Linked DNA regions of Notamacropus eugenii. The protein of the gene in region 1 purifies or fractionates together with the protein of each later gene. This does not show direct contact. Links are inferred from orthologs where the notes say so. Each region holds a gene or a part of one and is shown in the gene's direction. Other genes may lie near its edges.

What was found.
Region 2: the proteins of COP1 (region 1) and ETV4 purify together in Homo sapiens (affinity purification with mass spectrometry; 5 studies listed by BioGRID and IntAct, with this or other methods). This does not show direct contact. The link is inferred for Notamacropus eugenii from reciprocal best matches to the Homo sapiens genes COP1 and ETV4.
Region 3: the proteins of COP1 (region 1) and SOX2 purify together in Homo sapiens (affinity purification with western blotting; 3 studies listed by BioGRID). This does not show direct contact. The link is inferred for Notamacropus eugenii from reciprocal best matches to the Homo sapiens genes COP1 and SOX2.
Region 4: the proteins of COP1 (region 1) and ETV5 purify together in Homo sapiens (affinity purification with mass spectrometry; 6 studies listed by BioGRID and IntAct, counting the BioPlex papers as one, with this or other methods). This does not show direct contact. The link is inferred for Notamacropus eugenii from reciprocal best matches to the Homo sapiens genes COP1 and ETV5.

The regions. Positions count from the first base shown.
Region 1 is NC_092873.1:470,079,773-470,087,466, forward strand, and holds the start of COP1 (E3 ubiquitin-protein ligase COP1), read left to right. Parts: upstream 1-4,688; 5' UTR 4,689-4,839; coding exon 4,840-5,264; intron 5,265-7,694. UniProt on the Homo sapiens protein: E3 ubiquitin-protein ligase that mediates ubiquitination and subsequent proteasomal degradation of target proteins.
Region 2 is NC_092873.1:359,872,562-359,880,342, reverse strand, and holds the start of ETV4 (ETS translocation variant 4), read left to right. Parts: upstream 1-4,778; 5' UTR 4,779-5,006; intron 5,007-5,353; exon of another isoform or gene 5,354-5,461; intron 5,462-5,651; 5' UTR 5,652-5,705; coding exon 5,706-5,765; intron 5,766-6,099; coding exon 6,100-6,193; intron 6,194-6,523; coding exon 6,524-6,571; intron 6,572-7,781.
Region 3 is NC_092877.1:342,641,515-342,648,666, reverse strand, and holds SOX2 (transcription factor SOX-2), read left to right. Parts: upstream 1-4,144; 5' UTR 4,145-4,721; coding exon 4,722-5,771; 3' UTR 5,772-6,996; downstream 6,997-7,152. UniProt on the Homo sapiens protein: Transcription factor that forms a trimeric complex with OCT4 on DNA and controls the expression of a number of genes involved in embryonic development such as YES1, FGF4, UTF1 and ZFP206. Binds to the proximal enhancer region of NANOG.
Region 4 is NC_092873.1:55,502,733-55,510,173, forward strand, and holds the start of ETV5 (ETS translocation variant 5), read left to right. Parts: upstream 1-4,440; 5' UTR 4,441-4,769; intron 4,770-6,122; exon of another isoform or gene 6,123-6,323; intron 6,324-6,371; exon of another isoform or gene 6,372-6,476; intron 6,477-7,441. UniProt on the Homo sapiens protein: Binds to DNA sequences containing the consensus nucleotide core sequence 5'-GGAA.-3'.

The DNA.
Region 1 (7,694 bases):
TACCAGTTCTACAATGAACATCCACAGCAAACAGCAAAAAAACCCCCAATTTATCTAAATTATAACAAAACAGAAATCACCAAAAGTATACACAGGAGAACATATACCAGACAACATGTAGCGAAGGCACTCTCCTACTGGGAGTAATATAACTCAGCTCAACTAAGAGAGAGAATTCTGGATCTCACCCAAGGAGAAACTCTGAAGTTGCTAGGGTAGCAAGCTAGGGATAGGGACATGATAGAGTCTGCGAGCTCCTCTCAAGTTTTCCCAGAGTTTTTTCTCATCAATCTTGAGTATAGTTGGTCTCTTCCATTTTCCTTCTCAAAGCTGGAAGACAGAGCATGCAAAGTAAGGGGAAGCTTTGAGAATCCCAAAGAAGATTGGATGAGAGAGAGCTCTTAATGTTACCTTGTAGGGTTGGGTATTCATCTCCCCCAATAAGGACTCTGTGCTTCAAGCAATGGACTTTGGGACTGCATGCATTCATGCTTCACACTTTGATAACCTTAGAACACTGAAAAGAATAGATGAGGGCCATTATTAAAAGACTTGTGATTTAATCATACATGGCACAAGATTCATTATAGTGTACTATCTTTTGTTTTTGGAACATTTTTTCATTTTTTTTTGTTCTTATTGAATCTATTCTCATATACCTCTTTTATTTCACCCTCTACTCTCCTTATTCCTCCTTTCTTGTTGTGTTTCTGAGTTCCTTTTTTGTACTTTCCTGTTTAGTGACTCTGAGGTTTTCCCTTCTGCTTTCTCACATTTCAAAATCTGCTTTCATGTTGAAAAACTTTTGCCAACAAAAATAATAAGAATTATGTAGCACTAAATTCTTTGTACATTTTTCCAGCTGAAAAGGAAGATGGGGTTGTATCCCATTCACTCATTTCCTTTGAGATCTTAATTCTGAATGAATGAAGATGGCATTTGAATAAGCATTGATAAGGACAATGACAAATTTCCTTAAATGTATTAGTTGGTCCCTTGTTGCTTTCCTTCACAATAATTATACTTACAATTTTCCAATTACAGGCCAGGGAATATATCAAATTTAATATGTCAAATTATGTTCCATGAATCATGACTTCAGGGAATATGTCAAATTATGTCCTGTTAATCATGACTCTAAAAGGAGAGATTTAGAAATGATCTCTAAGGCCTTCCCAATCTTAAATTCTATTACCTTATGAACCTTTCCTGTTCTTCATCTCTAGCACTAGTCTTTTTTATTTGTTTTGAACTTCATCCTCTTTGCTAGGCAGCATGACTTGTATCCTCACCTTGTCACTTTTAACTTCACTCAATCTGTTTAAGTTAAAGTTATCATTTCCCCTCTAACTAGTTCTCTACTTTGGAATTTCATTTCTGTTAAAGGTACCATTATTCTCCCAGTTATGTGAATTTGAAACCTTGGGAGTAATTTTTTACTTCTCCTTATTTCTCCCCCACTATCCAATTAGTTACTAAATTTTCCTTGATTTGTTTCTCTCCTTAAAGTCTGTTTAATTGACTAGACCCCTTTTAATTGTATATTCACTGTCAAGACCCCTAGCCTCCTATGGTAATTGTCTCCTACCAGCTTTCTCTGCCTTCAATTCTTTCCACCTTTCCCCCCATCCTCATCTATTCTACAACCAATTGTCAATATTTTTAATACGTTGTTTATCTTTGCCCTTTTTTGATACCTTCCCCCTAGCTATCCCCCACTACTGTCATGTTTAGAAGATAAATTAAAACTGCTTAGTCTGTCATTCAAGGGCTTCCACAGTATGGCCTTTTTCTATCTCTTCAGCTTTAAAATGAATCCTCTACTATTGTCAAAATTGTCACTACTGCTCTTTGAAACACCATGCACAATCTCAATTTTGTACAATCTTAGCTAGATTTTTCTTTCTCCTTTTCCTCATTTATCTAAGTCTCCTACTTTCTTCAAGGTCCAACTCAAATCTCACCTTCTCCCAGAAGAGGTAACTGCCTGGTATGGATGTCCTTTATGCCTTTCACTTGCTTCCACATACCATGTGAACCAGTGATGCCAGCTTCCCTGCAGTTCCTTGAACGACACCCCATTTCTCTGCTTTCAGTGTTGTCATTGTCCCTCATGTCTAGAACTCTCTCCTTCATCTCCTTCTGGATTCCTTCAAGTCTCATCTGAAGACCCATTTTCTGCAGGAAGCCTTTTTCTATTTCATTTAATGGTTATGCTTTCAAACCTTGATTATCTCCAATTTATCCTAAGTCTTGTAATTCACTTATTTACTGGCATATTGTCTCCCCATTAGACTTGAGAGTAGGGACTGTCTTTTATCTTTCTTTGCATCCCCACTGCTTAGTACAGTGCCTGGCACACAGAAGGCATTTAATAAATACTAGCTGAATTGACTGGACTGTGTGAAAATGTATGCAACATTCCACGCCTAGAGTGGGCACTAAATGCTAGCTGACTGTCCCAGTTACTTCTTTGTACAACTCATTTGATGGCTCCTTCTCCTTCTTCTCATGTATCCTTACATATATCAAGTTCCTTGAAGGAAAAGCTTTTTATTCCCAATATCCAGCATGTTGCCTTAGGTCTATAATAACTTTTCAATAAAATATTAGCTGAGGATACTTAGATTTAGTTTTATATTCAACTTAATTAGCATTAATTTATATTTGACTTATAAAATATCCACTGTATTTTCTATAAAACAAACTTTTGTTCAAGAAACTGCTTTTTAGCAGTACTAAAGTTTCATCTCAAAATTTAAGGATTTTATACAATTAGATCCATTTATGGTGCTGGTGTTAAAAGATTATATTAACCAAACCACTTCACAGCTTAAGGGTTCTTAGCCTTGTGTATGTATGTGCATGTGTATGTGTATGTGTGATGGATACCCTTTGGAAGTCTGGGGAAAGGTAAGGACCTCTTCTCAAAATGTTTTAAATGCATAAAGTTACAAAGGAAGGCAATTATAATGAAATAAGTGGTCAAAATAGTAATTAAACCAATCTATGAACCTTCTGGAATCTATATATTAACCTCATGTTAAGAACTGATGTAGTTGCCAAAGGTTTCACTTTTTTAGAGCAGACTGGTATGATTCCATCAGTGGCATATGTAAATTTGTCGATGATGACAAGCAGCTATATTTTAATTTCATAATATTTTTCTTTGTAGTTAAGGTGGTATTTAGGTATTTTTGAGATTCTGAAAGAATATGGCTGGTATTTCGTTACTCCTGAATGCTGGGGTTAATCCGTAATCCTTGGGTTTGGCTCAATAAGTAGGTAGTAGGTTGGGCAGGTGTGTCCGAAGATATTGGGTGTTACCTTTGTAACAATGTAGTTTCCATAAAGGCAGTCCAGATGACTGCCTGGGTTGCTGGGCCTTCCCACTCATGCCCAACCAAGGCCTCACCTCTCCTGAAATTTGCTTTTCCTAGGGCAAGCACCTAGAGGACTCTTAAGGTCTTCCACAAACTTTGAACAGGGTTCGTTAAAAACTGAAAACTCTATTTAGAGGATCAAAGAAAAGTTGGCCTTGAAAAGGATCTAGCCCAATTCCCTCGTTTAGCAGATGATAAAAATGAGGTCCATCCAGAGAAGCGAGGTGAGAGGCTTGGTCAATAAACATTTATTAAATACCCCCTCTGGGGTAGGCAACTGCCTACCAACCCCTGTTTTCCTGAAGTTTATACTGTAATGGAGGGGACAACATATCAATAAATTTATGCAAACAAGCAACATAAAGGATAAATTGGAGATAATCCACAGGAGGAAGGGAGTAGAATTAAGGGGAAATCAGGAAAGGCTTCCTGTAGAAAGTTCTTTGGGGACTTGAAGGGATTCAGGGAAGCCCGGAGGCGCAGAGGAGGATGCAGAGGTGTGGACTGGAGTGCAGGTCTTCTAATTGCCAGCTCCACCATAGATGTGAGTGGAACTGAAATTGCACCCTCTCCACCACTGAAGGCATCTTTGGCTCTGTACCGAGTCTCGCTTTCTCCGCTGGAACATTCCGCCCGCTTTCATCAGCTAACTTTCCTTTTTGACTCTCGGTCCTTGCCCTCCTCCTCCTCCTCCTCCTCCCCCCTCTCCTCCCTCAGGAATGCTTGGGAATCCTGCGCACGCGCAGTGTCGGAAACCACCCCGTACCACAGACTCCCCTCTAGGTCTCCTCACTCTTAGGAATGAGGATATGCTCGGTTCGTAATGCGCTTGCGCAATCGTTGGCCGATTCGCTTGCCTGGGCTCGGGCACTGTGGACCACTCTCTACTCTGGGCGCTTCTCTTCTCCCCGCCCCTTGCTCACTGCCCTCCTACCCCGGCCCCACTTCCAGTTTCTGCTGTACGTCGTGAATCAATAAAGCTTTCAACAAGGAATTCTTCCGTAGCTAGGCAGTGGTCGCCGCCGCCATGGGTGTGTGTTGTGTGTATGAGCGCGGAGGCTGCTGCCAATAAAGTTGTACCTCTCGGGCTTCCTCCGCCCTCCCCATTCTCTCGGCCTCCGTCTAGAGTGCGCGTGCGCACGCTCTCGCCGGCCTCGCTCGGGGTTGGCTGCCGCAGGACTCGGGGTGGGAGCTGCGGCCTCGAGAGCGCATTTTTCCCCCTCCCTCCCCCTCCCGGTGTTCGAGTTGCCCGGCTTCCTCCCGCGGGCCGCCGTTTGTGTTCGGTTTTTTTTAAACAACTTTATTGTTCCCTCCCCGGTGGCAGCCCCCGCCCCCTGCGCTGTGCGCGTCCTCAGGATGCACTGAAGCTGCAGGGAGGCGGCGGCGGCGGCGGGTCCCGGTCCCCGGTCCCTCGTTCTCTCCTCCGAGTACCCAGCCCGGGGAAGGGGGGGTTACGATGTCCGGCAGCCGCCAGGCTGGTCCCGGCGCTGCCGGGACAGGGCCCAGCTCCTCCGCGGCCTCCTCAGTCACTTCCGCCTCGTCGTCGTCGTCCTCGTCGTCGTCGTCGCCGTCGCCCCCGTCCCTAACGGCGGTGGTGGCCGCGGCGGGGTCCAGCGGGGCCGCCGGCTCGGGGGGCCTCGGGGCCGCCGTACGGCCTCTGCTAGTGGCCGCCGCCGTGTCGGGCTCGGGCGGCGGAGGAGGCGGGGGCGGCGGGGCCCTGGCCGCGGGCCTCTCCCGGCTTGGGGGCTCCGCCAGGCCCGGGAGCGCCGTCAGCGGCGGCGGGGGCAGCTCGGGCGGCGGCAGCAGGAAGCGGCCTCTGCACACCCCACTCTGCAACGGGCTCATCAACTCGTACGAGGACAAAAGCAACGACTTCGTCTGGTGCGTGGAGAAGCATCCCTCCTCCTCTTCCCCTTCTCTCGCTGGGATGGGTGGGATCGGCGGGGAGCAGGTGATGCCCAGCGGTCCGGGGGCCCTCCCTGGGGGGCAGCCCTGGTGGGTGGCGAGTTACACCGGGAGGGCAGAAGAAGGATTAAGAGGAAGGAGTGAGGAAGTCAGAGCTCCCAGTTCAGCAAGTACCAGGCGTAGGAGCTCCCAGACTTGTTGAATGGAATTGAAGTGTGGGAGGGCGTCTCTGGTGAAGTTTGAGAGTGAGGATGGAGGCCCTTGGAATGGCAGTGAACTCTTTGGGCAACCTTAAGTTTATGGAGGGGATGGTGACTAGAGAGAATGCGTTGGAATTGCTCTAAGTGAAAGGGATATGGAGTGCCGTTAGACTGAACTTTCTGAAAGTAGACTATTTTTTTGCTGTTATTTGTATCCCCAGTGCTTAACAACAGTGCCCGGGAATATCCGCGATGCTTCATAAATGGTAACTGAGTGACTGATTGATTACCTGTAGATGGGCTAAGCATTGTTTAAGCTATACACAAATGTACAGGATCTATCACTACTCACTATTAACTCATATTCATCGTCTGTGTACAGTGAATCTTGCCAGTGAGACTATTAGCGTATTTGAAGTCAATGAAAAACTATCTTTTAATGTCTTAGGTGTATTTCAGTGTACCACATATATTGTACATGATGTTAAACACAGTTTGTAGCACTTTAAGATTTATCATAAAGTGTTTATTAAGCATCTAGGTGCGAGGGCCTGTGCTAAGCATTGGAGGTGAAGTGTAAAAAAAAAAAAAACAAACCTGAAAGAAACTGTTTCTGTCCTCATGGAGCTTATGTCTAATGGGGAGATGTGCACATGCCCATATTCAAGTATGCACGAAACAAACTGAAAGTGGTTTTTGTAGGGAGAGAAATAGTGGTTAGGGAGAATCAGGAAAGGCACACAGAAAATGATACTGAGTGGAGTCTTAAAGGATTCCAGGTATTTCAAGAGATGGAAGTAAGAGAGTGCACTGCAAGCACTGAGAGATGGAGCTTCATCATATGTGAAGAGCAGCAAATAGGCCAGCTTGAGTTCTTGAAGAAGAGTAAAAGTGTAAGAAGACTGGGAAGGTAGAAAAGATGATACCAAAACCTTTTGAGTTTAGTAGTATAAGAAGTAGTATTACCATTTTGCACAAGAGGGAACTGAGGCTCACATGGGTGAAATGATTCACCCACTGTCCATCAGCCAGTAATCATGAGAACTGTGATAAGAAACCAGATTCTGATTCCAGTCCAGTGTGGCTTGAGGCGACTGTTGGCACAGGGAGTAGAGGGCTGGGCCTAGACTCAGGAAGCCCTGAGTTCAAATCTAGCCACAGACACTAGCTGTGTGTCACTTAACCTGTTTGTCTCAGTTGCCTCTACGGTAAAATGGAGGTAATAACAAGCACCTACCTCTCGGTTACCCACCTCAATCCTGTCAGGATTGTTGTGATGATCAAATGAGATAATATTTGTAAAAAAGTACTTAGGATAGAAGAACATAGTAGGTTCTTTATAAATACTTATCCCTCTTGCCTTCTCCACTGTATATAAGTTATTAGAGGTTGGATGGTTGTGATTCAAATTATCTGTGGCAATTAATAGCCATGGTTGTTGGTTTTTTTGGGGGGAGGGGCATGGGGCAGTTGGGCTTCACCCCCAAAGAGAAGTGATTGTTACATAAAGAGCAGTTTGGAATTTGGGATTCTCTTCAGTGTCTGTAGTTTTGATACAATGATAACTAAAGTTGTCTAGATTGATGATTGTCGTGGAATTTGGAGGTTGATTTTAATGACTTACATTTGTATAATCACGTGTATAACAATGATCCTTCTACTGATGCAGATTGCAGTCATTTATATCTTAGTAGACTGCCTTCATGAGTTGCTGTAGCTGACAATAATAATAACCAGCCTTGTGGGGATGAGCCTCCCGATTTTGACAGGCTGGTTTTTTGTCTCCAGATTGGTAGTTGAAGCATTTACAATTTAATAGGACCTGCCAAAGCCTGTTCTTCTTTAGCCTAACCTTAAAAAACCCAGTCACCTCCATACCATGAAAAGTAGGACAGAGGAGGAAGTGAATGAGGCTGCTGGAATTCAGATGGGCTGGGTGATTTGGCCGATGTCACATGACTAGTTAGCTTCGGAGGTGAGACTTGACTCTCTCTTTCCTTCAACATTTATTAAGCACCTTTCGTAAGCCGGGTATTATAGACCTTTGGTGTAATACAAAGTAAAAAAAAAAATGAAACAGTGATCAGAGGACTAAGGACTTGGAGAGAATGATACAAAGTTTTAAGTTAGTTACTGTTTCGGTTCTCATGGAATTTACAACCCAATCCTGCAAGCATTTATTAAGTGTCTATTCTGTGCAAGGAGC
Region 2 (7,781 bases), about 110 Mb from region 1:
GATAGATTTGAGAATCAACAACATAAAAATGGTAATTAAATCCATGGGAGCTGATGAGATCAAGTGAAATAATATAAAGGGAGTAGGACCTAGGACAGAACCCTGAGGGATACCTATGGTTAGAGGGCATGATGTGCAGGAGAATCCAGCCAAGGAAACAGAAGAGAAGCAATCAGGTAGGAGAAAGTGGTGAGAGAGTAAGGTCCCCAAAACCCAGAGAGAAGAGTACCAAGGAGGAGAGAGTGATCATCAATGACAAAGGCTGCAGGGAAATCAAGGAGAATGAGAATTGAGAAAAGGCCATTGAATATGGCAACTAAGAGATCATTAGTAACTTTGGAGAGAGCAATTTCAATGGAATGATAAGGTTGGCAGTCAGATTCTAAGAGGTTAAGAGGAGAATGAAAAGAGAGAAAGGAGAGGCACTTGTTGTAGGTGACCTGTTCATAGAGTTTAGCTACAAACAGCAGAAAAGATAGAGGACAATACTTAGCAGGGATGGAAGGGTCAAATGAGGATTTTTTCAGGACAGGGGAACAATGTTTGTTAGGAAATAGAGGAGGAGGAGGAAATGAACCAGTAGAGGAGAGACTTAAAATAAGTGAGAGCAGGGAAGAAAGAGGAGACAATCTGTGGGATGAGATGGGATGGAATGGGAACACTTAAACAAGTAGAGGGATTACCCTTGGTAAGGAGTAAGACTACTTCATCATGTGAAACCCTGAAGGAGGAGATAGTGACAGAAGGCATTTCAGTGATAAGAGATGAGGAAGAGGGGAGAATAAGGGGTTTGTGGCAAATAGTTTAAATTTTGTCTCTAAAATATTAATTTCTTAGCTGAGAGAGTTAGGCTGGAGGAAGCCATGAGAGGTTTGAGCAGGGAAGAGAAAGTTTGGAAGGGCGACTGTGGACAATGGGATAATGAGTTGATAGAGAGGTATAGTAGGATTATGTAGTAAGATTACCTATCAGCAGTGACGGTCCAGTTGAGGTTATCTAGTATTTGTCCTTCATTTTGAAGAGGATCAATGAGGGTGATGTCTTGAATAATTTGGATTAGATTAATTAAATTAAATTAAATAAATAAATTGGCTTTAACTGAGGCAGTTGCGCAAAGTCCTCAGCCTCACTCTCTCTTCCAGGGTCATCAAAGTCCAGTAACAGGACAAAAGCCAGAACAACTGGTGATGGTCCAGTGGATGACATTGGCATCTTCTCTGTCTGACCAAGTACTCCACAGCACCTGCTTCAGCCATCTTCATGGCTGCTGGAACAAATTGTTCTCATCCACTCATTTAACTGGGGGAAAGTCTACACATGCTTGAGGTAGACATCCCTCTTACTCACTGACAGGGGAGCAGGTCACTGTCTACCAAGACTGTGCATGCTACAGCTTTTGGAGACACAGGTGAGAGTTGTGTGCCAGACAGACACCAAAGGTAGATGAGTATCCCTGAAGAGGGCTCAGTAAGCCTTCATGGCAGAGGTGCTAGTCCTCTAGAACACCCCACACATTCCATTATTTGTGGAAAGTCAAGTGATTTTCTTCACCTTGCTTCAGCAGTATGTGTGAAGGCAGTGAATGGTGGGAGTGATTCGGAGCTGAGGCTTGGCTGGGCATAATCAGTATATTATATTATGGGATAATCATGGTATAATATGGTAATCAGTATAACATATTATGGGGGCTAGGAATTCAAGAGAGGAAGCCAGTGTAGGGTGGATTTGATTCACCAAGCAGCCATAATGGGAAGAAGAGGAGAATGTAGCTAATGCAGGGGAGACTGCCTGGCAGAAAATTGAGGAATCAAGGGATTTGAAGTCATGATGAGAATGAAGAATAAATAGCATTATATAAAGGAAGGCAGGGGGAAAGATATGGAGACAATAGGTTATGATCTGATAAGGGGACTTCAGAATCCTTGAACATGGAGGCAGGATATTTGTGGGTGATGGCAAGATGAACAGCATGGCCATCTTTGTGTGTGGCTGAGATGGAGTGGAGAATTAGTTCATGGGAGGTGCTTGGATGTTAGAGGGAGAATCAATATGTATGTTTAAATCTCCTAGTATGACGGCAGGAGTTTGGGGAGGAAAGAAAAATTGTAAGCTAGGTATTGAATTCTTTGAGGAAGAAAGGAAAGCGACATGAGGGGCGCTACCAAGATTTTGAATGGGTGGAAGATATGAAGAGTCTGAACCTCAAAGGTAGGGAGTTTACTGAGTGATGGAGGAAGGGGTGAGCCTGAAAGTAGTAAGTGCTTACTTTGAATCAGACACTGTGCTCAGCAACGGGACACACAAATATAAGAGGTTCCTTCAGAAAAACCTGAGAGTCTGGTCTCTGCTGGAAAAAGAATGAATGAAGAATAGCAGGTCTGAGTCTCTTCCCAAAATGGAGGGTAAACACTAAGAGACATCATATGCCAATAAGTAAAGACAAGGTAGTTTGAGGAGAGAGAAAGCAGTAGGGGAATCGTGAAAGGATTGGAAAAGGTCATGGACCTGAGCTGAGCCTGGCAGGAAGCAGGGGTACTAAGGATTAAAGATGAGGAGGACTGAGCAAAAAGGCATGGAGGTGGGAAGTGGAGTCTGGGAATAGTGATACATCAGTTTAGTTGAAAAACTCAGTGTAAAGGGGAATAATGTCACTCTTTACATCTTTGATGCACTGTTCACATTCTGTTTTGTGCTAAAGATTTATGTTCATATTTTTTGTTCCCCTTCAAAACTGCAAGATGAAATATGAAGCTCACTGGTCTTGAATGCAAGAGACTTTGGTTCAAATTCTCGAAAAGGCACTTCCTGTGTGACCTTGGACAAACGGCCTCAGTTTCTTCATCCATAAAATGGGCATAATAAAACATTCAGGAACTACTTGATAGTGGTGTTGTTCAGAAAGTAGTTAGTAAACAACCTATAATGAGTTACTTTCCTCCTTTCATTGAAGATATGAAGGCTATGGGTATGGAATATTGTATGTATTGTTAGACATCATAGTTTTGCAAGTGCTTTTCTTTTCCTCTTATAAATCTTTGTTGATAGGGATGACTGGCTGGGAAAGGGGAAAAAAATATATTTCCAAATGAATGTGACATAACAGCAAAATGTCTCAAAAATAAAAAGTATTTTTAAAACTTTAACATGTTGTGGAAATGTAAACTCTCTTCTAGACTTTATAGCAGAGGGTGGGAAGGAGGAGTTTGCGGGGAGCAATTGTTTTGAATTCAGAAGATTGGTAAAGAGGACCCCTAACTGACATTTACCAAGATGTGCGTCTATAAACAAGTTACTGAGGATTGTATTTGCAATACCTCTGAATTCTTGGGAGGAAAGTGCTTTGTAAACCTTAAAGGATTATAGATACTCCTCATCTTTGCTCTCTTCCTGTTCCCCCCCTCCATTCCTTACACTTAATACTTTTTTAAAAGTTTGCTACATTTGAATCTCTTACTTATGCCCAGACATCATCTCTGCTCTCCAAATAGTCGCTCAGGAAAGGACCCCCCCACTCCCAATCCGATCCCTTTGGTCCTCTCTCTATATATATTTTGTGACAGAGAAAGGAATAAATGCTCCTTTTAAAAGTCATAGGCACCATATATCAGAGGTCAGGTGAAAAAAAACAGCATTATTTCTACAGGAGAATATCTACTAGTGTCCAAGTGATAGTTTTCTCTCCTCTTCCACACCGCCCCCACCCTATCCCGCTCCCACAGCCTGAGACAGGGTCAAAAAATTCCCCACACTCCCACTATGGTGGCCTTGGATTGGCAACTGCCCCAGGAGGACACACTGCTTTCAGTGGAGTCAGTACTTCTGGTGAAAGCAGAGTAGTAAGAGGGTCCCGGCTGGAATCTGGCCTGGGATACTTGTCGTTTGCCCAGCAGCCCCCAAAGCAGGCAAAATCCACATCCACCCCACCCCATCTTCCACCTCCTCCTTCCTTCCACCTACCACGTCATCGTTATGGGTTGGGCCCACCCAGTCCAAGTCCCTGAAATTACTTGGACTCCCCACCCCCACCAGGAAGGGAGATGGCATTGCCATTGTGCCTCCTCAAAGCTCTAGTCCCGGTAGCACCACTGTTTTCTGCCGACTGAAGCCTGGCCATTCTTCAAGGGCACCAGCCGCTGGGTGCTTCCCCCCATCCCCACCCACCCCCACACTGGCTCCAAAGAAGGCCAGAGAACCTCTGAGCCACCAAAACAACCCTTTCTGGAGGTTTTAACCCCTAGGGCACGAGATGGAAACACTGACAGGGAAAGTGTGGCTGTGGAGTTTACAAGGACCTTGTAGGGGAATGCTTGGCTGGCCACCTGTGCGCTCCATCTAAGTACACAGACACACACACACACACACTCACACACATTTACACTTATTCTTGCGGGGTGGGGAGCGCGCTGCGCACGCACCTATACAGCTATACAAACCCGGACGGGTGTGTACACACACTCACACACACAATCTCAGAGCCAGAGACATCCGCCGCCTTTCCATCACAGAGTTTGTTGGATAAGCGTCGCTGAGAACCCGCCCGGGCCCTCTCAGTTCGGCTGCTCTTCTCCTATCCCTTCCACGAAGCCCTTTATGAATGAACTCCTAGAGCAGCAAGTTTATTTTTTTATGAATGGGAGCCCAAGCCGTGAATGAAGCCCAGAACCAGGCCTTGCGTCCCGATTGGTCCTGGTTGCTGGGAAACTCCGCCCCCGGGCTCGGACGGGCTACGATCCTGATTGGCGGGCGTGTCCGGCCCTGGGGTTTCATTCACAAAAGTCAATGAAACAAAGGGAACGGGGAAAGCTGAGCCCGAGCTGAAGGAAATGCTCCAATCGGGGGGTCCCCCGGGCACACAACTGTCTGCTCCAGCCGGAAAACAAGTTGGTGCGCTTGGGACTGGGGACTAAAGAAGCCTTGCTCTGAGTCGGACCCGGAGTCCCTACTTCCCAATCCGGGGACATGCTCTGGACCCCAAAGCAGCAACTACGCTGACGCCCCCTCCTCAGGTGAGGGTGAGGGGAAAGGGAGGGGGAGGAAGAGTGATTCCCCGCCCACACACACACACACGCACACACGCACACACACGCACACACACGCACACACACACACACACACACACACACACACACACACACACACCGCACAATCGCGAGTGCATACACATGCTTTAGCAGATTTGGGTGGGGGAGAAAAGGGGAAGCAAATATTGGAGGTCAGAGGGGAGTTGCTGGACCAGGAGCCCAGGTATCCAGAAAAGAGGTGGTGGGTTGAGTTACTTGCATGAGGATGGTCCATCAGTCGCCTTCCCCCCACCCCCACGCACACGCGCGCGCACTCACACGCGCACACACACACACACACACACACACACACACACAAAATAAGTCTTATGTAACCGATCCCAGCAGTCCAGGGTTGCCGAAAGAAAGGAAAGGAAGGATTGTAAAGCTTCCGAGAGCAGGTGGGAATTTACTTGGCGGGCAGTGGGGAAGTCCTCATTCCCTCCGGAGGTGAAGAAATTTGGCCATCCCACCTCGGGTCCCCAACTGAAGCCAGTGGCCTTCCCCTCTCTCCCAAGCCCCTTCCCGGGCGGTCTGTGAGCGAAGCCCCGTTCCCACTCTCCTCCCGCCCTCCCCCCACTCCTACCCCAGGTCTTCCCCCCCACCTTGGTGGGGCTGAGGCTCGAGGTCTGAGGGAGGAGCCGAATGGAGCGGAGGATGAAAGGCGGATACGTGGACCAGCAAGTGCCCTACACCTTCTCCAGCGTGAGCGCGGGTCTCGGCCCCTCAGGCACCGTGGGCACCTCTAGCCCCTGCCTCCTCCGACACCCCTCCCCAACTTTCCTCGCCCCTCGGCCATCCCGGAGACCTTTCCCGCACCCCCACTTTCTCCCCTCCTCTCCCCATGCATCCCAAGCAAGGACCAGCTCTTTGCCAGTCCCCGGGGACCTAGCTCAGACCTCCACGCCCCAGCCCCGTGACCACCCTTGGTTGGTTGCCTCCGCCCCATACATCTCCATCCCCCAATTCCACCACTCTAGAGGATGACTCGGGGTCCATTGGGCCCTTCTCTCCCCCCCCCGCCTCCCCCCACCCCCAGAAATCGCCCGGAAATGGGAATCTGAGCCGAGCTCTGATGGTCACACAGGGGAAACTCATGGACCCTGGCTCCCTGCCACCCCCGGAGTCAGAAGGTGAAGTGCCAGATTCTGGGGACCCGTACCTCCCCCTACCCCATCCCATACCACACCGCATCCTCCCAATCCCCAGCCAGGCCTTCCAAATAAATACCCGGGCTCAGTATGTAATCCCTCCCACCCACCCACCCCCCCCCCCCCCAACACTTGTGGCATTTCCTTTCGAAGGACAGAAGTATTATTTTCCCTAGTGCTCCCCACTTCAGTGGACTCCTTATGCCTCAGTGCGGGTTGGGAAGGGGGAGCTCCTCCGCTTTGAGTTCATCTTTCGGGTCTTCCCACCCCACCAGCACCTCCCCATCCCATTTTAATCTATTCACCCCTCAGATCTCTTCCAGGACTTGAGCCAATTCCAGGAGACCTGGCTTACGGAAGGTAAGTTTGGGGGGGGTGTGGTTGCTCGTCTTTCCCTCTGGCCCTGTTCCCCCACCCCTACCTTTCCGCAGTTTTGGGACTCCCCCAAACCACCTCCTTCTCGTCGACTTTTCCCTTTCCCCCCTCCCCCCCCAAGTCGAGTGTGTGGACATATATACTGATGTATTTATTTTCTCTTGCCCTGAGCGGGCTCCTAAGCTTGTGTAACTAGGCCTGGGGATGAATCAGACCATTGTGCGGGGTATTTGCTTATGAATGGAACTTGGCCTCAGGCCCATTTTCCTTGTTGAAATTTTCATTTGCAAAGTCTGCCTGGCCCCGAAGGAAGACTGAGGTGTGTATTGGGGTGGGGGTGGAGTGGGGAAAGGAGCAGTTAATTTGTTACTTATCTTCCAGAGTTTCCAAAACACTGATTCTTCCTACCCCCTCCCCCATCCCACTAGACAATCAGCTATTCAGTGTGTAAGACAAAAGAAGAAAAAAAGTTGAAATTATTCACACCCCCCCCCAATCTGTCCCTAAATTCCCTTGGTCATAAATCAGATATTTCTACTTTTTTCCCCTCTTTCTCCTCTCCACCTTCCAAGTTACATTCTCCCATCCGTTTTTTCCAATCGGAGACTAGAGGGTTTGATGGCTATGATGGATGTATTGTGTTAAGGTCAGAAGATGTATTTGATAGGGTAGAATCTAGATTTGGGTGTGGTTGTTTGATGTATTTCACCTAGGGCGTTTTGGAAGGGATAATTGATATATTTTAATAAGATCTGAGAATATTAGATTTAGAAGTGGACAGGATCTTTGAGATCATCTTATTTTGGTTGGCATATTTCCATAGTTTTGTTTTGATAAAATTGGTGGCATGTTAGTGGGTTTGTTTGTAAACATTTTGGATGGTGGAGGCTGGAAGGATTAACATTCTGTTTGAAGCTCATTTCATTTTAACATCTTGGTGATGAAGAAACAACAGAAATTTCTATGGTGCTTCTCCCTATTACCCCTCAACTGCGGGTATCTTACTCAGATGACATTTTGGAGGTTCCAAACTACAGGCGAACTTTGGGGCAAGTTGAAAAGAACTTTTAGCTAGATAACTGGAACTTTAGGGATATAATATAAGTAACACTTTTCTCCTAACCTTAAATGTAGGCTAAGTAGATCACTCACTGTCAGAATTACCATTACAGACCCAGAATCATATACCTCTGTC
Region 3 (7,152 bases), on another chromosome or scaffold:
GTTAAACAGAGCTCTCCCCCAATACTGGTGGTCGTCAAACTCTGCTAATTAGCAATGCTGAGAAATTCCAGTTAACAAGGACATTCTCCTAGACTGCGGGTTCCCTGCCGCTCGCCTTCATTTCCATAAGAAGATTAAGAGTGGAGGGGAGCGCTCTCAGATGCAGATGCAGAAACGAAGCGTCTCTTAACGAGCATCGTAATAGTAAGATGCTAGGCTAGTTCTCACCTAATTACCGCAAGTTAAACCTCTATTTGCCGCTAGGGAGAAAAAAATAGGTCTGCGGTTCTTTCGACGAACAAAATTGTTTGATAGCTTTAGATGTGTTACTGCTGGGATGGGGGGGGGGGGGGGGGGGGAGGGTGCAGGAGAAGGGAGTGGACACGCAGAAATAAATAAACTTAAATTAAAAAGTTAGATTTCCACTTACCACAGGAAGTTGTTTCTTTGGGGGATTCTAAAGGGCTTTTACCTAGGGCCGATCCCAGAACTGAAGGAAGACAAAATATTCCAGGAGCTTCTTCCCCGCCCTCTCCTACACCCCAACCTTTTAAACTAATCTATCAATAAAAGTATGGAAGAGTTATTTCCCGTCCTTTGGGAGGAAGAGGGGGAGGGGGAAGGGAAGGAAAGAAGGAATATTTCTATCCTGTTTCCTACACGCATTTTTCCGTTTCCATAAATTATACCAAAGACAACATGAAAAAGAGTCCTGAACGAAGAGCCCTGTCTTAAGTCTCATTCTCTTCCTGAGGAGTGCGTGGAGGGTGGTTATTAGCGATGCAGCAGGCTAACAGGAAGGACTGTGGGACTGGGGCGCTTGCTCCAGCGTGTGGGGTTGGAGGTTAGGAGTATTTAGGGCTGAGTGATGGCCGTGAGTTTCAATGGTGTGGCCAGGGATTCGATTTCGTAAATATACATGTCGTCAGAAATCTACTGGGAAAAGGGGTTTCCGCGCCCTCAGTGGCTCCTGATTTTCCTGAGCACATTATTCTCACGCCTGAATGCCAGCGACAGTTAGTTGTACTGCGCGGATAAGTCAAACGCGCTTAATTAAAACAAAGCTGAAAATAAATGCAGCCAATGAGGACCCAATTGTGACGCATTTTCTCCCCCGCTCATTTATGTGATCAACGCAATTAGCTGAGGCCGAAGCCAGCCCCTTTCACCTCTTAAATGCATTATTATAGAGTTCAGGCATAAATGCATGCAATCTGGTTATCAGAGGTGGGGGTGGGAAGGAATCTTCCGGCTGTCTCAGTTGAGCGAGCCCCAACTCCCTATTGCCCATCCCGAGAAGACCGGACAAATGCACTCGGGTCTCCACGGGCACCAGTTATCAATTTCTAGCAATAAACCAACCCCCACCCATGGCTACCCCCACGGCAACCTACCTCCGGCCCAAACTTAATTAAGCTGCGAGATTAGAGGAGGGAGGGGAAGAAAGGACCCGGGGGTGGGGGAATGATGTGATCAAGCGCACACACCCAGAAGAAGAGGCGCCCCTAATTTTCACCCTCCCTAATTTTAGCCCAAGGATTAGACAGGCGTTAAGTAGTTGAGTAAATTGAATCAGACTCTTACACGCCTCTGAGGGACACACACCAATCTGTTGATAAAAATTACTTGTAATTAATTTTGCTTCTCACCACCCCACCCATCCCTCCTTCTTTAGGGAGAAGATGAAGATTGCCTAACGTTTTTTTCTTTTTAAAATGAAAAGCGCGATTCTTGGGGAAAACTCGCGCCAGTAGGGGGCGCACCAATCCCGTCCCTGAAACCCGTGGCGCAGAAAAGCCTGTGGCAGCCACCTCGGGCAGGGCTCCAGCTCCAGCTCCTGGCTCCTGCAGCCCCTCCCTGCGGCCCCGACCGCCCCCCCCCCCACCTCACCCCCACCTCCGCCTCCAACCTCCCTAATCATTCTTCCCATCCTCCTTGGCCTGGTCTCTGGGCGCGTTGGGGCACCTCTCATTCCATTGTAAAGCAGACAGTCCCGGGGGTCCCACATCCCCCTCCCCCTTTCAAAGGAGCCCAGGCTTTATAACTAAGACCCAAACTTTAGAAAATAAGTTGGAAGTATTGCCCCCACCCACTTTCTTTGAAGAGATAGGGGGGCTAAATTTAGAGGAATTCTGAAAGTGCCCCCCACACACATCGATTTCATGACTTACGCCTCCCCCCCCTCCCCACAATTTTCCAAGTTAGTTTACGAGAGAAGAGTACAGAGCGGGGCGGGAGGGGGTGGGGGGGTGTAATGATGGAAGGGGAGCCGCGACTTCTCTTCCTCCACAGTAATTCGGACTTATGCTGAGTGAATTAATGCAATAAAGGGAACGTGGCCGGGGAGCTAGCGATCGGTACATTTGCCTACCAGTGAAGGGCGGAGGACCGAGGGGAGTAGGGTAGGGTGTTAAAGGAGAAAAAAATAAATAACCCTGATGGTTTAAGTCCTTTATAAGCCACAAATAGCATGAGGTTGCTGCTTCTTTTTTTCTTTTGTAGTCAAGTGCATTTTAGCCACAAAGATCGCAACAAGAGAGTGGAAGGAAACTTAGACCGGGCTTTGTTTGCCTGCGTGTAGTGACAACAACAGAAACAAAACTACCTATTTGTAACGGACGTGCTCCCATTTCTCTACGCATTGAGCTCCTACCTATTGAAATCTTTACATCGGGACAATGGGAGAGCGGCTAAAATTACCCTCCTGGGTCCGCGGCGAGCAAGATTCCCGAGACCCTCCAGTCCAGTCCCCCTCCCACCTACCCCCTCCCTTCTCGTCCTGTCTCTTCTCCACTCCTTCCTCCCTTCCCCCCTTCCAGGTTTTTTGTCCAGAGCCTGCTCCCTCCCCTCTCCTGACCCTGAATGGGTCTGGCAGACCTCACCCCACCCTGACCTCTCGGCCCCGGGGAGCCCAGTCCCAAGCGCACTGCTGAGCCAAAAGAAGGTGGGGAGTGTAGTGCAGACTTTGGGGGGAGTGAGCGACGGGGACAAAAGGAAAGGGTGATAAAGTTTGGCTTGTGGGAACTGTGTTGGAGGCGCTTAAAAACCATAGCACGTTAGAACTTGGGAGTTGTGTTCTGTCTGATCTCAGGTCCGAGTCTGAACTGACGGCACGTTCATCCAGCTCCTTTCTTCCTCTTCTTGTTTCCTTCTTTCTGTCTCCCTCTTCTTTCCCTCCTCCTTCGTTTATTAGAGTTATGCTTCTCTCATTCCTTATTTGAAAGGGACACTGAAATTCTTCTGATAGGCTTAAGAGAAAGGAGGGAAGAGGAGGAGAATGAGGAATATAGGGCTAGGGTTTGTGGCTTTTTTTTTTTTTGCTTTTCCTCACGGTTTGAATGGATTAAGGATTGGGAGGGTGGGGGTGGGGCGGGGCCATAGCCAGGGGAAGGGGGGTTAGGGCGAAGTAGGAGCAGGAGGAGAATGAATTAGATATGAGATACCTACAATTTCTTGATAACAAAGCCTATATAGGAAGAAAAGTGGTGTCCCGGCAACGAGGGATGGATGCATTGGCCTGAAACTTGACAGGAATGAGCTTACAAATATTTTCTAAACATGGAAGGAAAGTGAGAGCGAAGATGGTCTCGGGACTACTACTTTTCCAACTTCTTTGCAGAAACCACAGTGAGATGAAAAATACCAGAGAGGAAAGCAAGCTAAAGGGACAAATTGGACCTTCGTGTGGGGGTGGGGATGATGGAGGAGGAGAACCTGTAGCCCGGTGGGCCTGGCAGCTAATTCCGTAGTTCTAGGTAAAGTGCCTAGGGGAGGGGAAAGAACAAGGGTGGGCACACCAAATCTCTATGACCCTTTTTGGAAATACTAATGGGAGACTTAGATTAAGAGGCCCCTGCACCCCATCACTACTCAATCTCCTCCTTCGTCCAACCCTCAACTCCCCAAAATCAATACCAAGTTTGAGGGGGGAAAAGCCCAAGGCGGCCACAGTGCTGTTCACCCTCTTCCTCCGAAAAGGCGTGTGGTGTGACCTGTTGCAGCGAGAGGGATACAAAGGTTTCTTAGTGGCTGGCTGGCTGGCGGTGGGACCCGCCTCCCCCTCCCCCAGGGCCGCCGAAGGCTCCGCGGCGCGGAAAGCCCCGCCCCCTTTCATGCAAAACCAGCCGGAGAGGCTTGTCCTGTGTGGAGGAGCCCGAGCGCGCTGATTGGTCCGGGAAAACCCATTTATTCCCTGACAGCCCCCATCACATGGATGGTTGTCTATTAACTTGTTCAAAAAAGTCTCAGGAGTTGTCAAGGCGGAGAGGAGAGTGTTTGCAAAAGGGGGGAAAGTAGTTTGCTGCCTCTTTAAGACTCGGAGGAGAGAGAACAAGCGAGAAGAGAAGGAGAGCGAGAAAGAAAGAGAGGAAGAGAGAGAGGGGGAGAGAGAAAGAAGTTTTGAGCCCCGGGCTCAAAGGAGCGTTTCACCCAAATAATAATAACAATAATAGCGGCGGCGGCGGCAGCAGAAATCGAAGCCAGTGGAGGAGTTTTTCTTCCTGATCTTGCTTCCAGTTCGTCTTCTTGCTCTGCGTTTTTAATCGCTCCTCATCTTATTTTTCTGGAGACGCGCGCTCCCGACCCCCCCACCCTTCTCCTCCCCTCCTCCCCTCCCCCCGCCCTCGGGCCCCCCGAAAAGTCTCGCCGGCCAGTCCGGGACGCCCGAGGCCGGCCCGGGGAGGTCGGGGGCCCGCGGAGCGCGCGATCCAGGAAGCAGCGCGATGTACAACATGCTGGAGACCGACCTCAAGCCTCCCGGCCCGCAGCAAACTTCGGGGGGCGGCGGTGGCGGTGGCGGCGGCGGTGGCGGCGGCGGCGGCCCTAACTCCACGTCGGCGGGCGGCACGAACCAGAAGAACAGCCCGGATCGCGTAAAGCGGCCCATGAACGCCTTCATGGTGTGGTCCCGCGGGCAGCGGCGCAAGATGGCCCAGGAGAACCCCAAGATGCACAACTCGGAGATCAGCAAGCGGCTGGGCGCCGAGTGGAAGCTGCTGTCCGAGGCCGAGAAGCGGCCCTTCATCGACGAGGCCAAGCGGCTGCGCGCCTTGCACATGAAGGAGCACCCGGACTACAAGTACCGGCCGCGCCGGAAAACCAAGACGCTGCTCAAGAAGGACAAATACACGCTGCCCGGCGGCCTGCTGGCTCCCGGCGGCAACAGCATGGGCGGCGGCGTCGGCGTCGGGGCCGGCGGCCTGGGTGGCGGCGTCAACCAGCGCATGGACAGCTACGCGCACATGAACGGCTGGAGCAACGGCGGCTACGGCATGATGCAGGAGCAGCTGGGCTACCCTCAGCACCCGGGGCTCAACGCGCACAACGCGGCGGCCGCAGCAGCTGCAGCGGCCGCGGCCGCCCAGATGCAACCCATGCACCGCTACGACGTGAGCGCCTTGCAGTACAACTCCATGACGAGCTCGCAGACTTACATGAACGGCTCGCCCACCTACAGCAGCATGGCGTACTCGCAGCAGGCCGCCCCCGGCGGCGGCGCTGGCGGAGGCGGTGGCGGCGCCATGGCCCTGGGCTCCATGGGCTCCGTGGTCAAGTCAGAGGCCAGCTCCAGCCCCCCCGTGGTCACCTCGTCGTCGCACTCCAGGGCGCCCTGCCAGGCCGGGGACCTGCGGGACATGATCAGCATGTACCTGCCCGGCGCCGAGGTGCCCGAGCCCTCGGCGCCCAGCAGACTTCACATGTCCCAGCACTACCAGGGCGCGCCGGTGCCGGGCACGGCCATCAACGGTACGCTGCCCCTGTCGCACATGTAAGCCCCGGAGCCCGGCAGGGCAGGAACATTTTTTTTAAGGAAAAGGAAAAAAAAGACACAAAGAGACTGTATGGCATAGAGAAGGGGGCCCACCGCACCACGGGATGGGAGGGGGGGGAAATTCCCCACCATCTACAGCAATGACAACTGCGAAGAGGAACTTAGATACACACACGCACACACACACACACACACACACACACACACACACACACAACACAACAAAACAAAAACCCAACAGCCACGGCAACACCAAGAAGAAAACTTTTATTGAGAGATTCCGGACTTCTTTTTGGGGGGGACTATTTTTGTACAGAGAACTTGGGGGAGGGGGAGACAAGGGGGGCCTTGTATAGATCTCTGAAGGGAAGAAAACTACACAAAACTTTTTAAAAAGTTCTAGCGTGGACGGTAGGAGCTTTGCAGAAAGTTTGCAAAAGTCTTTACCCATAATATTTAGAGCTAGTCTCCAGGTGACGACGAAAAAAATGTTTTAATATTTGCAAGCAACTTTTGTACAGTATTTATCGATATAAACATGGCAATCAAAATGTCCATTGTTTCTAATCTGAAAATTTGCCAATATTTTTCAAGAGTCTTCTTGCAGAATTTCCGATCACTGCAACTGGGATTTGGGGCAGTTGCAAACAAGAGAGGAGGGAATTAATTTCAATTTGGACATTTTAATTGTTTAGAAATTGTACAAAAGGAGAAAAAATTTAGGATACTTGCAAAAAACCATTTCCGTGCTTTTCTATAAAAGGGCAAACGTTTAGGTTGTACTCATTTTTTTTACTTATTGTTAAGAAGGAAAAAAAAGCAAAAGCTGGCCCCTCCACACAGGCTGCCATGGCTGATAATTTATAATAGCATTTATTTCCAAACTTTTCATTCTGTTTCAATTTGAACACAAATTAAAAAAAAAACAAAAACAAAAAACCCAGCAAGAGCGACCTGAAATTACTGTGTTTGAAATATTTTCTTATGGTTTGTAATATTTCTGTAAATTTATTGTGATATTTACGGTTTTTTTTTCCTCCCTCATTTTTGGTAGTTGTATTTTAAAAACTCGGCTGACTCTGTGTTTCTTTAAACCAGTCTGCCGAGAGTCCATGTACATATATTTGAACTAATCCCGTCCTTATAACAGGTACATTTTCAACTTAAGTTTTTATTCCATTATGCACAGTTTGAGATAATAAATTTTTGAAATATGGACACTGAAATTCCATTTGCGTCTTGGATTTCTTTGGAGAAGACAATGGCGTTGCTTGGAAGTACTTGGGGGTACTAAAATGCCAGGCTCCTTAGAGTGGTCTTAGCAAAAAGAAAAATAACAAAATAGACTCGAGGTGTCCACTGCCGGGCACCAGGTCTAAAAA
Region 4 (7,441 bases), about 410 Mb from region 1:
GTGTGTACATATACACAATACATACTATATATATTAATTTACAGCTATTTACAGTCAAATTTGCTCTTCTCCACCTCCCCCCCTCCGTACAGAGCACAGGGAGGAGATGGAGAGTTTGAACATGGAGCTAGGTGACATTTCAAAATGATTAATCCCATCTTGGTTGTGTCTAACAGATTTAAAGTACAAAAGGATGTTAGAGAAAAATTAGTCCCTACAGTTGTATAGGTAAGGAAACTGAGGTGTAAAGGCAAGGAGGTCCCAAAGAGAGTCAGTAATGTGAGAGACACAAAAGTGAAATAGCTAAGATCCAAACCCAGGTCCCTTGATTTCAAGTTCAGTACTGAGAGAGACAAAGACACAGAGACAGAAAAACAGACAGACAGAGAGACAAAGAAAGAAAGGAAGATACAGAGAAGACACACAGAGAGTTTATTAATAAACATGAGATTCTCAATTTGAAAGACTTGTTCTTCGCCAAGTTTCATTTCTTTCATGACTCACACACTCTTGTGCGCAATGAATATTTAAGGTTTCCCATTACTAACTGATGGTCAGCCCCTGACATAGTCGAAGTGATCCTGGGATCATAGGATTCTAGATTTGGAGCTGAAAATGACTTCAGATGTCATCATGTTCAATCCTCCTCATTTTACAGATGAGGAAACTGAGGCCCAATGAGATTTAAGTGACTTGCCCAAGGTGACACAGCAAGTAGTGGTGGCAGTCAGAGGACTGCATATCCATCTCCTTTTCCATGCTGTTTCCCTCAAACCACTGCCCCACACTGCCTCTCTACCAGGTGCCTGTACTTTGGGATTCCTCTGAGAGTTTCCAAAAGAACATCACCTCCCTCTGCTCCCCACTCCATATACTCATACACCTTACATGTTGCCATTGCTGGACAGATCCAGAAGCCACACAGGTCTGCATGGGTGTGCACAGATGATACATGACATCAGCTGAATTTAACAATAAGAACCAAAAAAAAAGCTTACTATGTGAAAGCTATTTTCTCACAAAGGATTTCAGGGTATAAAACCAAACTATCCCCTGCCCTGAGGAAGCTTATATTCTACTTGGGGGAAAACAGCTAGTACATAAAAATTCAAGACAAAATATAAACTAATTTCTGGCGGGAGAACACCAAAAGGTGGGAGGGGGCAGAAATCAGCATCTGGGCTTGGCACCCATGCCTGGAAGAAAAATGTGTTTCGACATATCCTGGACCCCCCATACTTTGATGCAAGCTCTGATGGTTATTCAGACAAGCACAATCTTGTCTAATACTCTCTTTGGTCAAGTTCAACAACAATCTCACACACACACACACACACTCACAGTTTGGGCATTCTTCAATGCCCCTACACTTATTCCCATGCTTCTCTGTCATGTAAATCTTTCTGATTTGATGGATACACGGGATTTATAGCTTCAAACATTAACCTCCCACGATACTGATCTTATACATAAGAGAAATTACATTTATAGCTTTGCTAGAACATGGCGTCCCACATAGAGGTTACTGCTTCCTCTTCCAAACCTCTTAGTAGGTGATACACATTATTTTTTTTTAGCAAAAGAAATCTCTTGTTTATATAATGTCCTTTGCAGCACAGGCTCAGTGTGTGCCCTACAAGGAAATTCTAAAAACAGAAATCATCTTCTGGAAATAAAGGCATTTGTTGGGGGTGGGGTAGAGTCACTGGGAGGCATTTGGGGAGAAAGGGCAGAATGACTAAGGAGGCGTTGAACAGTGAGGATTTGCCCATTTGCAAGAGACACCACGGTACAGGTACACTGGGCCCCAGTTTCCTCATCTGTACAATGAAGAGGTTGGAGTAGATAGACAACCTCTAAGTTTCTTTATAGATCTAGGTCTTTGATCCTAAGATACTATGAGACCTGATTGTTCAGTATGACCTTTGGCAAGTCACTTAACCTCTGGGTCTAGATTTCCTCATTCGTAAAATAAGAAGGTTGGGCTAAATAATCTTGAGCTCCCGTCCAGCTCCCTATGATCACAAGAAAGGCCATAAAACTGTGTCATAAGCACACTGGGTACAGAATGTTGGCTGGAAGGGCCTTAGAGAAGCATGCCAGAGCTTGCAGGGTCCTTAAATCACAGACTCCAAAAGGGACAGTAGAACACAGAATGTCAGTAACACATCTAGGCGCTGTCTTCTGAGTCAAGAAAACCTGAGGTCAAGTTCTGGTATATACACATGCACACGTATGTACACACATGTGTGCATATATGTATATATACACACATGTATATGTGTCTATATGTGGTATGTGTATACACACAGGCATATGGTTTTATATATATATATATATATATATATATATATATATATATATATATATATATATATATATATATATATATATGTCTGTGTGACCTCCAGCAAACCATTTAACTTCTTGATGCTCCAGAAAACTAATTCTCCAAGATAAGAAAGCCAGAAGGATTACTTACTGGGGGATGGGATTTCCTCTCTGGGAGATGTCTGATGAAATCATTGTTCTGAACAAACACTTCCCCACAATGTCCAGAAAACCAGGTCGATAAGTCATATGTTGAGATCAAGGGGTATCTAATACACTCATTTTACACTGTACTTTTATTCACAACATGTGGAAAACAAAACAAAATAGAAGGAAGAAATGTTTCCAGCCTACTAGGGAGATGGTTAGGATATAGAATGTTAGTTAGAAAGAAGCCTTACAACGTAAGGTGAAAGAATTCATAGAGAGCCCTTAGAACTTAGAACATCAGCCCAGAAGAGAAGGAACACAGACTGTCAGAGCTGGGAGGTACAGAGAGTATAGAATGCCAGAATGAGAAGGGACCAGAAAACAGAGAATATCAAGGTTAGACCTTGGAGGTCTTTTTTGACCACTTTGTTTGACATTGGGGGAAACTGAGGCTTTAGAGAAGTCAAGGTGACTTCCCCTACCAGGACATTGTGAGATTTCGTCACAATGTAGCAGGAATGTACACTCAACAAATGGCTAGGTCTCTAGACACTAACCTAGAGATTTGTTGGGGCGGGGGAGGGTGGGGGGGGTGGGGGGGGGGTGGCACGCATGACCAAAGCTGTCATATCTACATATCTGATGGGCTCTTGCTAATGGCAGGGAAAAGATGTTGTCCAGAGGCATAAAATGGGGGCAACTTTTACTTTGTTTCTGTTGGCCCTAGAGTTCTGGGTTCAAATTCCACCTCTTACACCCTGGGCAAATCATTCAATCTGTGTGTGTCACTTAGGCAACTCTCTAGAATATCCCAAATTCAAACAGGGCCTCATGGTCCCAACCAGAGTCTCCCTACATTAACAAGATCTTTGACTCTCCCTGTATTTGTATAGATGGGTTGATGTTTCTGGCTCCTCACAGCCCATGTAATGTGAGAGGCCTGTTACATTGGGTGCAGCTTTTGGTGGAAATTTTTTGTTTGTTTATTGCTCCTGGAGTCTCTTAAATTGGGTGGAAGGTAAGATGCTTGAGAAGTAAAGCAATGTATACCAGAGTGAATGGAACTGAATTTTTAAAAAAATGAAGGATTTATTATAAACAATAATGATTATTACATTAATAATTGTATGTAAAATTATGGTTCGTATTAACAATAATACCTACCATTTACATAGTGATTTCAGGTTTATAAAATATTTTACAGAAATGATCTCACATTAGCCACCTGTACACATTTATGCACACACACCCTGGGAGGCAGATGGTGTCATTATCTCCAGAGGTTAATGACTTGCTCTTTATATGTGTGTGTGTGTGTGTGTGTGTGTGTGTGTGTGTGTGTGTGTGTGTGTGTGTGTGTGTGTAAAGAGAGACAGACACAGAGAGAGAGAGAGCGCAAAGTATATATAGAGACAGAGAGACAGAGAGAGAGAGAGCGCGCGCAAAGTATATATAAAGAGAGATAGAGAGGCACAGAGAGAGAGAGAGCGCAAAGTACAAAGTCATTTGGACGCAAGGGTGGGAGAACACTAGCATCTGGTGGGGCGAATCAGGACAAAAGCTCATGTGCAAAGTTAGCACTTGAGCTGAACTAGGTATTCTAAGAGGCATGAGTGAGGGGACTGAGCATTCGTGCCCTGGGAGTCTCTCGTTGGCCTCCCCATCTCCCCTTTTCCCTCTCCCAAGGGTGCTAGCTAGCCTCATCTCTTGGGTTACTAGTCAGGAGGCTTGCCAAGTCACACCGGGAGAAGAGCTCAGACAGCATGCTCCCCAGCATACATCCCGGGCGCTTGGCTAGTCCTGCCGGAAGAAGTACCACACGGTCTTACTCTGCACCATTGTGTGGGCTCCCCATGTTGGGGAGGGACTTGGGGGGAGGGGAAAAGGCTGATTTGTTTACTTGTTTGAAGGAACATGGCGTTAAGAATCCCAGCAACTGCACTTAATGCGTATTTGTTTGGCAGACCCCGGGGGCTCTCCATCCTTCCCCAGCTGTACAGGACTGAATTCCAAAATGCGGCATCTCACACTCCTTAAATTGCAAACAAACAGCCCAGCGAGGCTAGAATACTAACTACCAAGCCCGGTTTCCAAGGGATTCATGGTTGGTTGACTTTATGGTGTGACTTCTGCAAAGATTACTGGATCAGAGTAAACCTTTTGAGCTGCCTTGGGACCTGGGGATCACGTAGTCTCTCCCTCCCGCCCCGCCTTCTGGGTATTCTTTTTTGTAGACGAGGAAACTAAGGCGATTGAAAGGAAGTGACTGTGCCAAGATCACACTGGAGGTAAGCAGCAAGTCTATGGGTTCGCTCCCCTTCTCTGGAGACTGTAAAATGAGGGCTTGAAGACTTCTCCTGAGGTCTTCTGTGGCTCTTGGCCCCCAATTTCAGGGTCCTCCCTTTGCCTGTGTGATAAAAGGTGATAGAAGCACAGGATTTGGGGAGCCCTGCTCACCTACTCTACTCTGACTTTCAGCCCTGTCTAAATTTTTTTTTGGGGGGGAATACCACTTAAAATCTGGCTGTGAACTCAAGTTATAATTAAAGAGAGAGCCACAATGAAGATTTTTGAGAATCTGCCCCATGCCCACCTAAGCGAGGTTCCCAATGAAGGGTCTGCTTAAAAGGCATTCCCAGTAAGTGACTCGGTTCCCACTGTGTATTTCTCAGTGGGCCACACGCCCAGGTCGGTCAGCGAGTTTCTTTTTTGGCTAGAATGACGAATTCTTCCATTCTCAGGAGATAACTTTGCACCGTTTGCTGCAGCTGTGAATGAAAGCCAGGCTTGGAGCCTGGAAGCAGGGAGCAGCCCCAGCCCGTCCCCACCCTCTCCCCCACCCCTCCCCCACTCTAGTGTGGCGGGAGGGGAGGAAAATAAAAGGAGTTCTCCCTACCCCCAACAAGCAGAGACAAGGAGGGTCCCTAGAGGAGGGTAGGGGGGGTCTTGGGAGAACAGAAGTGAGCGGGGGAGCACTTGGAAAAGAAATGCTTGTTCTTGAGTTATACACGTGGGTTCAAGTGTCCATTTTTTCCAGTCGCCTGTCTGTGAGACCTAGGATATGTCATTTAACCGTTCAGAGCCTCAGTTTCCCCATCTGTAAAAACGAAGGGTTCTCATTTCGAAGATCCCTTCCAGGTCTTCATCTTCTGGCCTCATTCCTGTGATGAAATGGTTTTTCAGATTTCATCCAGGTCTCTATCCTACCCTGTGCTAACCTGCGTTAGATTCACCTCCAGTCTTTGCTTTCGGCCGGCCCCTTTAAAGGCTTCACTGACTCAGCGAAGCTTCTCCCTCAGGTCGCTTTTTTTTATGAATGAAAAACGTCCGAACCACATTATGTAAACCAGAGTGCGCTGATTGGTCCGGGCTCTCGGTGCATAAATTATGTAAAAGGACCCCTCTCCCCCGCCGAGGAGGCGGGTCGGAACGTGCAGTCGGCCCAATCCCCAGCGGGGCTGGTGTGCCGACCCCTCGCCATTGGCCCGCAGAAGGGGTAAACAAGCGTTGATGGACGGGCGCGGGCGGGGCTGCGGGCCAATGGGAGAGGCGGAGAGGCGGGAGCAGGGGGGCCGGTCTGGGCTCGGCGGGGGGCTGCGGAGGCCCAGCCAGTTCGGGGGCGGCTGCTGCGCTCGCTGGGCTGGCGGCTGCGGCGCCCGAGGGAGCTAGGCGGCGAGGCGGCCCGAGAGCGGCGGCAGGGCGGCGCGGGCGGCAGGCGGGCTTCGGGACAGCGCCGGGCCGGGCCGGGGCGACGGAGGCGGGCTGCCGGCCGGTTGGAGCCCCTGCCCGGAGCGCTTCTGTCAGGCGGGCGCGCGCGCGGACGACGGCGGGCGCGCGCGCAGGTGAGGCTCGGGCACGCGCCCAGGTGCGGGCGGGGGCGGGGCCGCGCCTCCGGCGAGGGCGGGGCCTAACGGGGCCGGGGGCCGTAACGGGTCTGCGTCTGCCGGTCATGGACATGGACACGGATTCAGCGCCCGGCACAGCTGGGGGGGCAGGTGAGGTGGGGGGGACGGCCCAGTGGGAGGGGGTCCTGGCTCCTGTCCAGGGGTGCATCGGGGGACCGCGGAGAGGGGGGGGGGCTTTGAAAGGTCCAGGGGTAGTTTGGGGGCCTCTGGGGACCTCGGAGATTTGGGAGGCGCTCAGGGAACCAGTTTGGGGGCTTTTGGAGGGGGGGCTGAGAAGAGTCTATGGGCTAACTCGGGGAGTTTAGGGGGTTCCCAGAGTGGATCTGAAAGGAGATTGAGAGCTCTCTGAGACTTGATGGGAATTTGGGGCACCGTAGGGCCGTTGGGGGTTCTTGGAGTGATTGAGAAGGGTTTGAGGGCTTCTCTGGCAGCTTGCAAGGGGATGCCTGGAGGGCCAGGGGTTGAGTCTGGGTGCTCCTGGGCTGCCTGCGGCGATGTTGGGGGGAGCCTGAAATTAGGTGGGGTGCCCAGTGATGTCTGAGGTTGGGGAGCACTAGAGAAGGTTGGGGACCTTCAGACGTGGCCTGAGGGGAAGTCCCTGGGAGCCTGAGATTGAAGTATGATTTAGGGGTGCACAGGTTTGAGAGAGTGGAGTAGACTGGGGTGATCGCCGAGCTGGAGGGTCCTCAGGAGGGCGAAGAGAGTTTAAAAGTGTTGTGGGATCGGGAGAAGGGGTTGCACAGATTCGGAGCCATGGCTGGGGAGCTGCGTTTGGGGGCCTGGTTATGAGGCCCCATTTTCTGGGGGACTTTGGGGCTGAAATTAGATGTGGAAGGAGGTGCCTCGGGGAGACAGGATCCTTTTGTAGGGATGCAGAGGGGCCAGCACCCCGCACCGTTAAGGGGAACGTGGGAGAAAATTGGCCGCGATTGCGGCTGCAAGTTTTATGAATGTGGGTGACTTTATGAATGAAGTGGGTTTCTTTTTCCTGCTCGCCCTACACCGCCCTCGCGCCCCCTCCCCCCCAGTGTGAGAGAGAGAGAGAGAGAGAGAGA